Linked DNA regions of Danio rerio. The protein of the gene in region 1 binds, or shares a complex with, the protein of each later gene. Links are inferred from orthologs where the notes say so. Each region holds a gene or a part of one and is shown in the gene's direction. Other genes may lie near its edges.

Region 1 (3,654 bases):
TTCTGAATCGGGCTCAGGCATTGTTCACTTGGGCTTTGCTGCGGTACGCTTGTGTGTGAGTGTAAAACGGGCCTGAGGCCGAAACTGAAAGCGAGACATGACTTTTAAGGGACTGTTACATATGGATTGATTATTCATTCTTACTGTTCAATGAACACAAACTGTCGCAGGTTATTAAAGAAGCAAACCCCTCACTGCACGACAGCTGCACCTTCAGCAAACCTCATAATTCCTTCAGCACGAGGGCTTTATGATTGTTTAGAAGCGTCAAAAGTTGCTGATCTATTCGACTAAATATTTGACTGCGTGTCACCGCATGTTAAACAACTTAAGAGATATAACAGTAGGAAATCTCCACTGCTGAGCGAGAACGCTTATTGAACAGTGCATCATCTAAATCACCAACAATTCATCTCAATAAAACTTAAGTAGTTACATTCATTCATATGCGGCCAAGAAAGAATCAAATTAGTTTTCCCCCTCTCTGTTAGTGTTTAGTTCTGTTAAAGTCTAAAAATCTATTCATAATGGTCTTAGTCTTAAATTTGAATTGGTGAGTCCTGCAGACACCCTGCAATATATAAGGGTCGTACTAATAAATTACTTGAGAGATCCCCTAGGCTAATATATTGTAAGTATTATTAACTTAATATATTTATAATATGTAAGTGATAATTGCACTGTTAAAATATTCATGTGTCTTTCTTTTAACTGTGAACTAAAGTCATGAGCACTTTTTTATTTGCTTTAATCATAGTGTATATTAAGCATGGGCTGGTATAAGATTCTGACGGTATGATAACCTTGTATAAAAATATCACGGTTTTACAGTATTATCACTGCTGCTCTAAATATATATACTTTTTAAATGTCTGGGTAAAAAAAACTAAAGCTTTTTCCCTTTTGAACACAAAAAGGAAAGCAGGACTTTTCGGTCGCCGAGCTCCGCCAGTGCGTAAAATTGAGCCACCTGGTTTTCACTGTCTTCTGCTGTCTTCATTAGTTTTAAAAACACAGATTCCTTCAATTTAAAACGGCATCTTTGGAGATCTTTTCTGCTACAACGGTATAACATTAAATGTTGGCGGTTTTAAAATCGTACTATTTCCAAACTGCGGTTTAACTTGAAAAGGGTTATAGTCCTTAGGGTTACCTTTAGTTGGTCTATGGTGTTGACTTGCATAATGAGGAGTGCAATTCAAATAATTTCTATAACATGTAATGGGTAACATTCAGTCCTTGCTGATCATTTTATATAACCGTGTGTCTGTCTGGCAGGTTTTTAAGTACAAAACTTCAATGGAAAAGCACAAGATCTTCATCTCGGGCCTGCCATACTCCGCCACTAAAGAGACACTGGAGGATCTCTGTAAAGAACACGGCACAATCAGAGCCATCCGGATAGTCACCAACCGCTCTGGCAAATCCAAGGTGTGTAGGTTTCTGTCACTAATATAATGACACCAGTATACTTGTTAATCCAGAGGTGTAATGTTTGCAAATTTATGATTTATGTATTTGATTATGATAAAATGTCTATTCATCCATCCATTGTAAAGAAATAGTGCTTCAGTGAGTTAGGGTGCTTTCACACACACTTGGTTTAATTGCCTGAACCGTATCCAAAACGTTCAGAAAATCATGCGATATCTGCAGAAATCGTTTTTATTGTAGATGAGCAGACGTTATGACTATGTTTGTACTGGGTCAGTTCTGCTTGTCACCAAGGCAGGTGATACACAGACATACGCACACGAATGAACATTATGAAAATGATAGTTTGTTGTACAGTTGGTGGTTCATTTCTGTTTTTTGTTACAATTGCATTTATATTAGAAGTGAACTGAACCATACCCCAGACCATCTCTTTCAGGTGGACTCGGGTACGGTTGACATGTGCGCACCTGAGTTCAGAAGACCGCGTTCATGCTAGCTAAACGTACCCTACTCTGTCGTACCTAAACCCAAGTGCCTAAAGTGCACAAGTCTGTGAGGGGTGTTCTCATTTTTGCTGAGCACTGTTGACATAGCAGACGCCCAGGTGATGATTAAAGAGTGTGGGAACACAAGGGATGGAGCCACACAAAATTTAAACTTTGAAAGAAAAATATCTGATATTGATGGAAGAGAAGAGATGCTCTATTTGAGTTCACTGACTTGAAACTTTTGGATGTTTCAAATTAAATCTCCAGAGATTGCAAAACTAATAATGTGTGAAACACAAAAGCTACATTACCAAAGACACAAGAGCTACAACTCAAATCTAACAAAGAAATTGCGTTCAGTTCAGTGCCTACCTTATTAGGCTGTAAAAATAGGAAAGGAACAGCAGTTCCAAAAGTAGTTTAATTTGTCCCTCATCTGGTTTATAATCTCTGGGGAGGAAATGTTCAGTGGACAACATGGATCTGTAATATTTGCCTAGGCCCAATTACATCCCAACAAATAGTTAGCTGGCATAGATTAGCCATAGTATAGTCACCAAGGATCACTTACAGTACAGGAAATTTGAAATGCTTGTCTTACACCAGGAGATGATATTAATTTGATGGGGTATTTATAACATTGTTTACAAACTGTTTCATTGATGTCTTTCTCTGTGGTTAAAATGCTTATTGAAAGATGTGAGATTTTTATTTCTATAGCACCTTTATAATGTAAGGAGATTATCAATGATGGAAAAAAAAGACATAAAAGTATTTCAGATTATGGAACATTCCAGCATTTCAGGCAGGGAGGAGAGTAATGATCGAATGCTGTTGCAGTTCAAGTGAAATTGAAAGTGATTTAGTTCAGATTAATTTAAAATGTTGCTGTTTAAATATCTGGATCCAAGATTATGTAAACCTCTGTATAAAGAGAAACAGACTGACTCACTGATTGTTGATTGTTGAAGCTGCTTGTTGTGAAACATGAACAAAGCTTGTGGGTTTTGTTTGTAGGGTTTGGCGTATGTGGAGTTTGAAGATGAAGCACAGGCCTCTCAGGCGGTGTTGAAGATGGATGGCACCATGTTAGAGAACTTCACCCTCTCTGTTGCTATTAGCAACCCCCCAGGCAGGAGGATGAAAGACGAAGCAGCGCCGAGTCGATTCCTGGGGGCAGCGATGCCAAGGCAACTTCAGGGAGCGTAAGTGCTGCTGCATTCACCAGTTTAGCTGATCACACACATGCGCACACTGAAGTACGGCTTTGGGGATGTCTGGGATTTTACTGTGAAAATCTGTTGCTATCAAATCTTCTGTAAATATTCTATTTGAGAAATAAAAAGCTTCACTTTTTTACTACGAAGTGTAAATACAACATATAGGGCTGAATGATTAAGCAAAACCTAAATTGTGACGATGAGGCTCACTGTGATTGTGAAAGATGCAACTCATTATTTTGAAGAGCAGCTGTTTGTAATCTGCCGTGTTTTGCAGTGAATGCTGCTCAATACATCTCAGCAGGTTCTGTCGGTTCCTTGTTTTTTTTTTTATACTTTTATTTTAAGGTTTTTAAGTACAACAGAAAACAACAAAAAAGCAAACAATATTGTCTCAGAATATACACACTTTGCAATTAAATATATGAATTGCCGTACATGTGGGTTCAGCCGTTGGGGATACAAAATGTAATGTTACACAATATGTAGACATCTAAAAGTCCTATAAG
Region 2 (4,304 bases), on another chromosome or scaffold:
CATTGTCATCAACTGATGGGGTGAGGTGCAAAATGTTTAATAACAATTTTTAGTGTTCTAAGCCTCTCTTATTATTGTGGGAAAATGTACTTTTTGGCTTTACTGTTGACCCTTGAAAAGAGGAAATTGTTTTTATTTAACTAATTTACTTATATTATTGGTGGCGCAGTGGATAGCGCTGTTACCTCACAGCAAGAAAATTGCTGATTTGAGTTTTGTGGAGTTTGCATATTCTCCCTTGTGTTCATGTGGGTTTCTTGCAGGTGCTCCGGTTTCCCTCACAGTTAAGACATGCGCTATAAGTGAATTGAGTAAGCTAAACTGGCCGTAGTGTATGTGTGTGAATGGGAGTGTATGGGAGTACTGGGTTGCAGCTTGAAGGGCATCCGCTGCGTGAAACATATGCTGGATAAGTTGGCGGTTCATTCTGCTGTGGCGACCCCAGATTAATAAAGGGACTAAACCGAAAAGAAAATGTAGATGTTAAAAAAAAATTATATTCATAAATTTTAACATTTATGTTAAAATGTTAAAATGTTATATGCTGTTCTTTAAATAAAAATAAATAAATAAAGCATGTCTAAAATGACGTTGATATGAACAAAATATGCCATGTATTCAACATAAGAGGAGGAATTGCAGCTGTTTATTGATATTACGGACGTCTCGATTAAAACTGCACTGTAAAAATGCAAAAACAAAAAAACCTCCAGACGCCCATTACACAGCAGCAGCAGGATGTCTATGAAGAGTTTATTTGCAAAACTGATACCTCCATTTTATAGAAATATTATGTTTTTTAATGTGTATTGAAGAGTACAATTGCAAAAAAAAATTCTATATTTATAGAAATAAAACTCTTGATATATCACCATTTTAAAATATACAGTAAGACTGTTTAGAGATGGTGTCAATTTGACTGGCCACCCAATGGATGCAAACACAATGAAGAGAGATAGTACTATATTCCAACTCATTATCTGCATTATATGATTTTTACAGTAATTAAAGAGATCATCTTTAAGACAGGAGTTTCTGTATGAAATTTGTACAACATTTATGCTAAATTGAAAGCATAACAAAGATTTATGAATACATCCTCATGTAGAGAAGTAGAAGTAAATGAGTTGGCAGATAAGCTGACTTAAACTTGCTCTGAGAAATGCTGTCAAACACAGTTTTACTTCATATATATATATATATATATATATATATATATATATATATATATATATATATATATATATATATATATATATATATATATATATATATATATATATATATAAGGGTTTTGATTAGTAAATTTGCATCAATGTATGTTTGTACTGTTCAGACGTGAATGGGTTAAGTCTAACAGCGCCGCAGTCGCATTCCAGCCAGCGATGACGCGCTTCCTGTGACGCAGTGAGATTTTAAAACATTGTCCTTCTCAGTAATGGCGGCTTCGTTCCCTTCGCCTTCGCAAAATAACAATAAATGGTACTTCACGCGCGAACAAATCGAAAACAGTCCATCTCGCCGAGCGGGACTTGATCCCGACAAAGAGCTCTCGTACCGACAGCAAGCTGCTAACCTGCTGCAGGACATGGGACAGCGGCTCAACGTGTATCTTTTTCAGTTAGGCAGGCGTCGGTCTCGGCAGCTGCTCCGAGGAGGCTGACGCCGGTTTGGGCGGCACGAGTGGTGTTGAATTTCAGCGTTATAATGACCTGAAACGGGTCTACCAGTATACACGCCTTTTCAATTGTGAAACTTGTGGATTAAGGCGAACGGAATAAAGGATTAATGTCCCAATTTTGCGTTTATTTTTTGGTTTGGTGTAGGCCTCAAGGCCTAACTGGAGGTGTCTCTGCCATTGAACAATAGCGTAGCCGGTGTCACAGCCATTCCCAATATGAATTTGACTCTGTTTACTTCATTACATCATTTGTTTATACTCTAAAATGAGGCGTTTATGTCATTTATGCCATTTCAAATATATATGTAAATATAGTAATCAGCATAGTTTCATTTTCCCTTTTCAGGGTGGCTCTGTTACAGTAACATGACATTTAAGTTAGTATATAGAGGAAATATGAGCTGTCCTGCTTTATCTTATGTTACTAATGTGCTTTAGATTAATGAAAACCAGCCATTTTCGTCTTATTTGTCGTTCTGAGTACTTTCACTTTTAACTTTACTGGTGCTAAAGGGTATCAAATGAACTGGCAATCTCTCTTATTGAAATAAAAATACCAGAGGCTTAGATAAAACGAATCTGTGACTGACAAGGTCATATTTTGCATGATATATTGGACAGAAGTGCCTTCAGACTGTTTATTTTTGTTATTTTAATGAATTACAATCCTTAACTTTGGACACTCAGCTCACAACTCACAATTAACACTGCCATTGTGTATATGCATCGCTTTTACATGGTCCAGTCCTTCACTCGCTTCCACCGGAATGTATGTGTCTTCTTTCATATACGCGTTTCAAATAAAACATGCTGGCTGCATTGAACAAGATAATAATCTCTTAATGTCCCGTGTTGTTCAGGTGATTGCTCCTGCAGCTCTGTTTTTAGCAGCGAAGGTGGAGGAACAGCCCCGTAAGCTGGAGCATGTGATTAAGGTGACCCATGCATGTCTCAATCCTCAGGACCCATCACCGGACACCAGGAGTGATGTAAGTAATACTGTACTGTATATGGATTATGGCCTTAAAAACATTGGTTTTGTCTACGTTATTTGTTTAAATGTTACTTGATCTTTTGGGTACACTTCATTTTAAGGTGTTAGAGTTTAGTTGTATTTAAGTATTGACTGATGGAAGTTAACAACTGTGTATTTACTATAGGGTTTGAAATAGAGTTTTGGCTTAGGGTTAGTTGCATGTAGTTTTGCATTTTTTGTACGGCATTGAATTCGTTTCAGTTATAAATTTTAATACTAAACTAAAAAACTGAAACTAAAGTAAATGATAATAAAAAATGTTCTTTGGAGTGAACTTGCTTTAATTTTTCAGAGTCCTGAGTGAGTGCTGTTTTTTTCACCTATTTTTGTTTCTGAATGTAACTATTTTGTAGTTGTTTTATCTAAATTATTTAATTGACCAACAGTTCATAACTCCATGATACCAGATCAGACAAGTTTCTATCGACTAATCAAAATATCCATTTTAGGTACATTTACATGACAATGGTCTACTAAACTCAGATTTATTTCCTTCGTTGAAAAAAAAGAGCTGCTCCGGCAATACAACCGAAAATGTCATGATCGGCTGATACCAAGTACCAATTCCGATGCTTGTTTACCTGTGCCATTGCATAAAGCACCTTTCCCCAAGTATGACACTTTAAGGCTGAATTATACTTCTGCATTAGTGATTGCCATAACCCATGGCACATATCTTGCATTTAGTCATGCTTTTATATTTCTGGTTTCTGTTAGTGTTGCGCTGACTGTAACACTACCGAAACGCAGGCTGGCAGGGGGGATTCTATATTTTTCTGTGCCGAGTTTCTTCACGGGTGTTTTGTTTTTACTGGAAATACTTTTAATGCAAACTCACTGTACAAGTAGCTCAAACTCACTCATTCAGAGGTTAAGAACCAGCAGAACTAAGCATGGACCTAAGATTCTGACGGTATAAAAACCTAGGGTAAAAATATCACTGTATTGTGACTACTGCTCTAAAATCTATTCTTTCTTTAGGGTAATGTCTGGGTAAAAAACTTTTGAACACATTATTTTTTATTTTGAGAAACATTTAAAATATTTTGGTGCAGTAAACATGTCATGCTAAATTAATTATTCACTTGAGCTGTCTTCATTTGCTTCAAAAACAGATTTTTTAGCAATTTAAAATGGCGTCTTCAGATAAATATTCTCACCAGGAGATTCTGTTGCCCTAAAAAAACAAACAAAAAAAACGTAAAAAAAGAAATCGTACACATCTCTTAGGAAAATTTTGATGGTTTTAAAACCTTGACCTTTTAAAACCGCGGTAACCTTGAAAACGGTTATCGTCCCATGCCTACGTGTAACAACTTTAATCATAAACACAAAACAAATATCTTCATCTAGAGCTTCTCCACAGGGACTCAATATTTGTTAAACACTCACGCCAAGGAGCTCGCTCCTCTCCTGCAACTCTCGGCCCCGATCACAATCATCAATGCTATCAAGCCAAGCGGTCACATATCTTGCACTATGCATTGGCGTAACATGTAGTTAAGTTTTTTTTGAGAGGTGCATTTAAGGGTTGGCAGTAGCGAAGGGTATGACTCTGTGTGCGCCAGACCAATTGCGTGCACTCAC
Region 3 (4,250 bases), on another chromosome or scaffold:
GCCTAAACTGAAAGAAAATGAATAAATGAATGAATGAATGAATGAATGAATGAATAAATGAATGAATGAGCTGAGCTACCTTTATGGTATATAAAAAACAGAATTGGTGCAAACTATTCTGGCTTCACGGTGCAGGCCCCTGATCCTCCCTGCAGTGGCTTGTTAAAAAATACCTACACAACAATATAATCATGATTTAACTAAAATGTTGATCATTTATATTAAAGAAAACAAAAATGTACATTTTTGGACCTTTGAATAAAACGCTATTTATCGAAACCAGTACAGTTTTGTAAACATGTTAATAAAACCATCATGCAACATATTTTTGGCATTTGTTGATTCAGTTATGTTTGATTCATGAATGAATCTTTTAGAGGGGGTTTGTGAATCAGTTCAGCTGACTCATGAAACAGATCCAGCTCCGAATGAAATATTTTGCAATTCACTATTCGATTAAATCTTCTAAGACTGAATTTAATAGGGAACATTAATCATTTTAGTAGCTAACTGACATAAATAATAAATACAAATAAATATATAAAAAGTGTATAAAGTGAGGTGTCATGATGTGGACACCAAACCACTGTTCATCATGAACATTTTGTTTTATTTTGTTTTTTCTATTCTGGAATGGTACAAATCTATGTAAAGGTTATGCTATGGCATTTACTATGTGAACACCACACACAAAACTCACAAACATAAGTCAAATGTATCCTGAAAGAAAGTCATACCTGTGCATATTTGCAGTCAGAAATAACAGTTTTATCAATTTTGAGATCTCAATCTCAAATTTGAAACATTTTAAGAATTGTTTTTACAATTATATATATATATATATATATATATATATATATATATATATATATATATATATATATATATATATATATATAATTTTTTTTTTTTTTTTACAAATTGTAAAAATAAAAACATTTTGGTGAGCGTTTTATATCATTAAGTTAAACTTAAGGTTAAACTTCACTAGCACTCAGTGTTTGTAAAAATGTCTTAGCAGAAAATACATTTCTGGTCATGTTCATATAAAGTAATTGGACAATAACAATTGAATATAGGCCTAAATTACAGTTTATAGGCAGAACATGTAACAATATTAAACTAAAACATAGTAAACTTATTTCAGTTAATAAAAAATGTTTATTAACCGCTGTACCAGAGGGCTCGGTTTGTTTCATTTATCAGCCGCTCCCAGATTGCATGTAGCGGCTAGTCGAGCTCGGCAGTAGCTCCAGTGTGCGCGCTCCCTTTAGCGCTGCGCGTCCCCGGTATACTTCAGCAGCGCGCTCGCGGTCACTGCGGGTTCACTCGCTGCACGATGGCGGAGGGAGGCGGACCCGAGTCGGGTAACGCTTCGGACCCTGACGAGAAGCCGGTGATCACACAGACACCAGTACCGTCCACCGAGAGTCAAAAGCAGAGCATCGGGACACTGCTAAAAACGCTACTTCGAAAGGGAGACGAGTGGTAAGAGTTTTTTTTAAATAAAGCCGTAGTCATGGCACGCTTGTCGGCATCAGCTCAGGCCTACCGACGGAGACACCGGCTGCCGGAAATCCCTTCACTTCTCCGGCTGTGGACAGCCACATGTTCTGCTAACACCCAGAAACTATATAGAGTACATTACTGTTCAGGCGATATGACACAACAGTTTGTGGTTTAATATTATTAGCATTTAACACAATTTATGTCGGTTAAAAAACGATGAAGTTGTCTTGTAGCTAGTTAGCACAGGTTAACCAACCTTAGCATTCCATTTCTCCCCAAACATCACAGTATTTCCACCGTAAATGTCTCTTTAATGCATAAGGTGTTTTAGGCACGTCAGTAACGTTAGCTGAAGAGTTGGTAACGTTAAATAAACTCAAGCACCCCGTTGTCGGTTATCAGTTTTCTGATAAGCTAATGTTGCATGGCAAAGTAGCGTCAGGCATGTAAGGCACTTCTTTAGCCGAGGCTAGTTAGCCAGCCTAGTTTGCGTTTCGTTGACGGGTTAAGTGTTATTTTCTGTCAGACGTCAAACTTATTTTAGGGTTACTGACAAACTAGATTAAAATAAAGGTCAGACTTCTCCTTTTAAAGTTGTAGAAAGGAGTGTAAGCTACATAAACAAGTATTGCAGGCAGTGCTTTGTCATGGCCACTGGATAACACCCAGTCACTCAAAATGTTGTTAGGCAGCAGAAGAGTTTATGGCACCGATAAGACATGCACATACATATATTTTGAAATTATGTAGATTGAAGGTCAAAACATGTAATACATTATCTGTTAAATATTTGTATTTGTTTTTTTGTTTGTTTGTTTCTGTGTGGCTTTCATTTAGGAAAGCAATCCGAGAAGTAGAGTCTTGACACCTTTAATAGACTTATTTTTTTAGTTCAGCTTTATGCTTGTGCAAATCACCATTTTGGATTTAAAGGAATAACGTTAGTTCATTCAAAATGACAGCTTCTGCTACATTCCATGCGTTTTGTTTTGCTAAAATGCATGTAAACATTCAAGTTGTCAATGTGCCGACAATGACAAAATTTTCACTTTTGGGTTTCCAGTCAGTTAATTTACATTTTTGACATTTTATCAAAGTGCAATGACTGTCTCTTGGCAGAGGGAATCAAGTGCTAACAAGATTATGTAGTGGAACAAGTTCCTACTTTAGATGAGATTAAGAAAGGCATCCTTATTGACTGTTCTAAATTGGTAGGTGTGTAATGTAACTAAATAGAAACTCGCTTTGCATACTGTTTTGCGCTCATAATTTAGGAGAAACACATTAATTGTCTGTTCCCTCTGACTCTTCACTGATCTCCAGCTATTGTTTCATTTGTTTAGGTATTTGATTGACAGCCGGTGGTTCAAACAGTGGAAGAAATATGTTGGCTTTGACAGCTGGGATTTGTACAATGTTGGAGAGCACAATCTCTACCCGGGACCCATTGACAACTCTGGCCTCTTTTCAGGTAGTGAATGTTTGAGTGTTGTTTTGCCACATTCTTACAGATGGATGTTATAAAGAAAAATGGGCATGTTTTGCCACCAGAATATACATATATATAAAAAGAAAGGTTTTTTGGTAATATTTATTTTTTAAGGTTTTTAAAAATTATTTCTCCATTAAATGCAAACTGTTTGAATCAAGTCTTTTCATTTATATATTTTTTGTAATGATTAGCTTATGAGTCCAATTGATCTAATCCTTTAGGTATATTGACACACTCACTGATTCAGTACAGACTATAATTAACAATATATAGCTTTAACAGCTCACTGGAGAGGAAGATCATCTCAGAATAACTACTTTATTAATTCAAATTTTAGTCCAAAACTATTGTGACCTGAAATCAGACCAGAATTAAGCCAACAAGCACCAAATGTGAGTATTGCATTATCAAGTATATTATTACATGCTTCACATACATAGATTTTTTTTGGGTGGGCTGCCCAGGTGTATCAACAGCCACCCAAGAAAGCCAAACATTTGCGATCGATTAACCAGTGGAAAATCTTCTCTCGCTCTGCATGTTTCCTACTGCTGGTTCTGTGTGCACGAGAACCGTCAACACTCACACAGACAATCCCAAGCCAGCAGACCCACAGAGATACTCCAAAATCTCTCTGACCATAGTTCTTGGATGTCTTAAAATGTTCAGGATTTGGGTTTTACTTTTGCTTTTTAAAGTTGTTGTTATTTGTATGTGTTTTTGCATTACCTTTTTAAGAAAAACATTAAATAATTAATTGATAAACTACTTAGATCAACTGTACTATAAACTCAGAGAGAACAAATTATCCTGGCTGCAAAATATTTGTACACCATTAGAAATGGCTAATCAGCTAATTTGCCTGATTTAAATAGTCTACACTTTTTATTCTAGTAATTATCATTTTTGCAGTAATGTCTATTTTTATTTCTTTTTCTGTTATTTATTTATCATTTGCTGTATATTTTATTGATTTAATGATGTTATTGTATTACATACTTTATATATATATATATATATATATATATATATATATATATATATATATATATATATATATATATATATATATATATATATATATATGAAATGCTTTGGCAATACTGTACTATACTCTCTGAAATAAAGGTACGAGAGCTGTCACTAGGGGGGTACCTTTTCAAAAGGTGCACATTTGAACTTGATTTATTAGCACCTAAAACATTTAAGAGATGCAATTTCGTACTTTTTAGGTACTAATATGTATCCC

What was found.
Region 2: sart3 (region 1) and ccnt1 share a complex: the UniProt entries of both Homo sapiens proteins name them as parts of the 7SK snRNP complex. The link is inferred for Danio rerio from reciprocal best matches to the Homo sapiens genes SART3 and CCNT1.
Region 3: the proteins of sart3 (region 1) and usp4 are in contact, whole or in part, in a crystal structure (PDB 5CTR), measured with the Homo sapiens proteins. The link is inferred for Danio rerio from reciprocal best matches to the Homo sapiens genes SART3 and USP4. Residues at the interface, in NP_055521.1 of Homo sapiens: Asp437, Ser438, Ser439, Lys440, Gln490, Arg493, Glu494, Trp496, Asp497, Met500, Thr501, Ala505, Trp511, Tyr514, Lys529, Arg533, Cys537; in NP_003354.2 of Homo sapiens: Met24, Thr27, Leu28, Ser53, Trp54, Glu123, Gly125, Leu126, Phe127, Val128, Lys129, His130, Cys131, Lys132.

The regions. Positions count from the first base shown.
Region 1 is NC_133180.1:21,202,816-21,206,469, forward strand, and holds part of sart3 (squamous cell carcinoma antigen recognized by T-cells 3), read left to right. Parts: intron 1-1,278; coding exon 1,279-1,431; intron 1,432-2,942; coding exon 2,943-3,130; intron 3,131-3,654. UniProt on the Homo sapiens protein: U6 snRNP-binding protein that functions as a recycling factor of the splicing machinery. Promotes the initial reassembly of U4 and U6 snRNPs following their ejection from the spliceosome during its maturation.
Region 2 is NC_133198.1:38,752,844-38,757,147, forward strand, and holds the start of ccnt1 (cyclin-T1), read left to right. Parts: upstream 1-1,409; 5' UTR 1,410-1,438; coding exon 1,439-1,608; intron 1,609-2,368; coding exon 2,369-2,450; intron 2,451-2,541; coding exon 2,542-2,670; intron 2,671-4,304. UniProt on the Homo sapiens protein: Regulatory subunit of the cyclin-dependent kinase pair (CDK9/cyclin-T1) complex, also called positive transcription elongation factor B (P-TEFb), which facilitates the transition from abortive to productive elongation by phosphorylating the CTD (C-terminal domain) of the large subunit of RNA polymerase II (RNA Pol II).
Region 3 is NC_133181.1:44,915,799-44,920,048, reverse strand, and holds the start of usp4 (ubiquitin carboxyl-terminal hydrolase 4), read left to right. Parts: upstream 1-1,327; 5' UTR 1,328-1,339; coding exon 1,340-1,488; intron 1,489-2,852; coding exon 2,853-2,980; intron 2,981-4,250.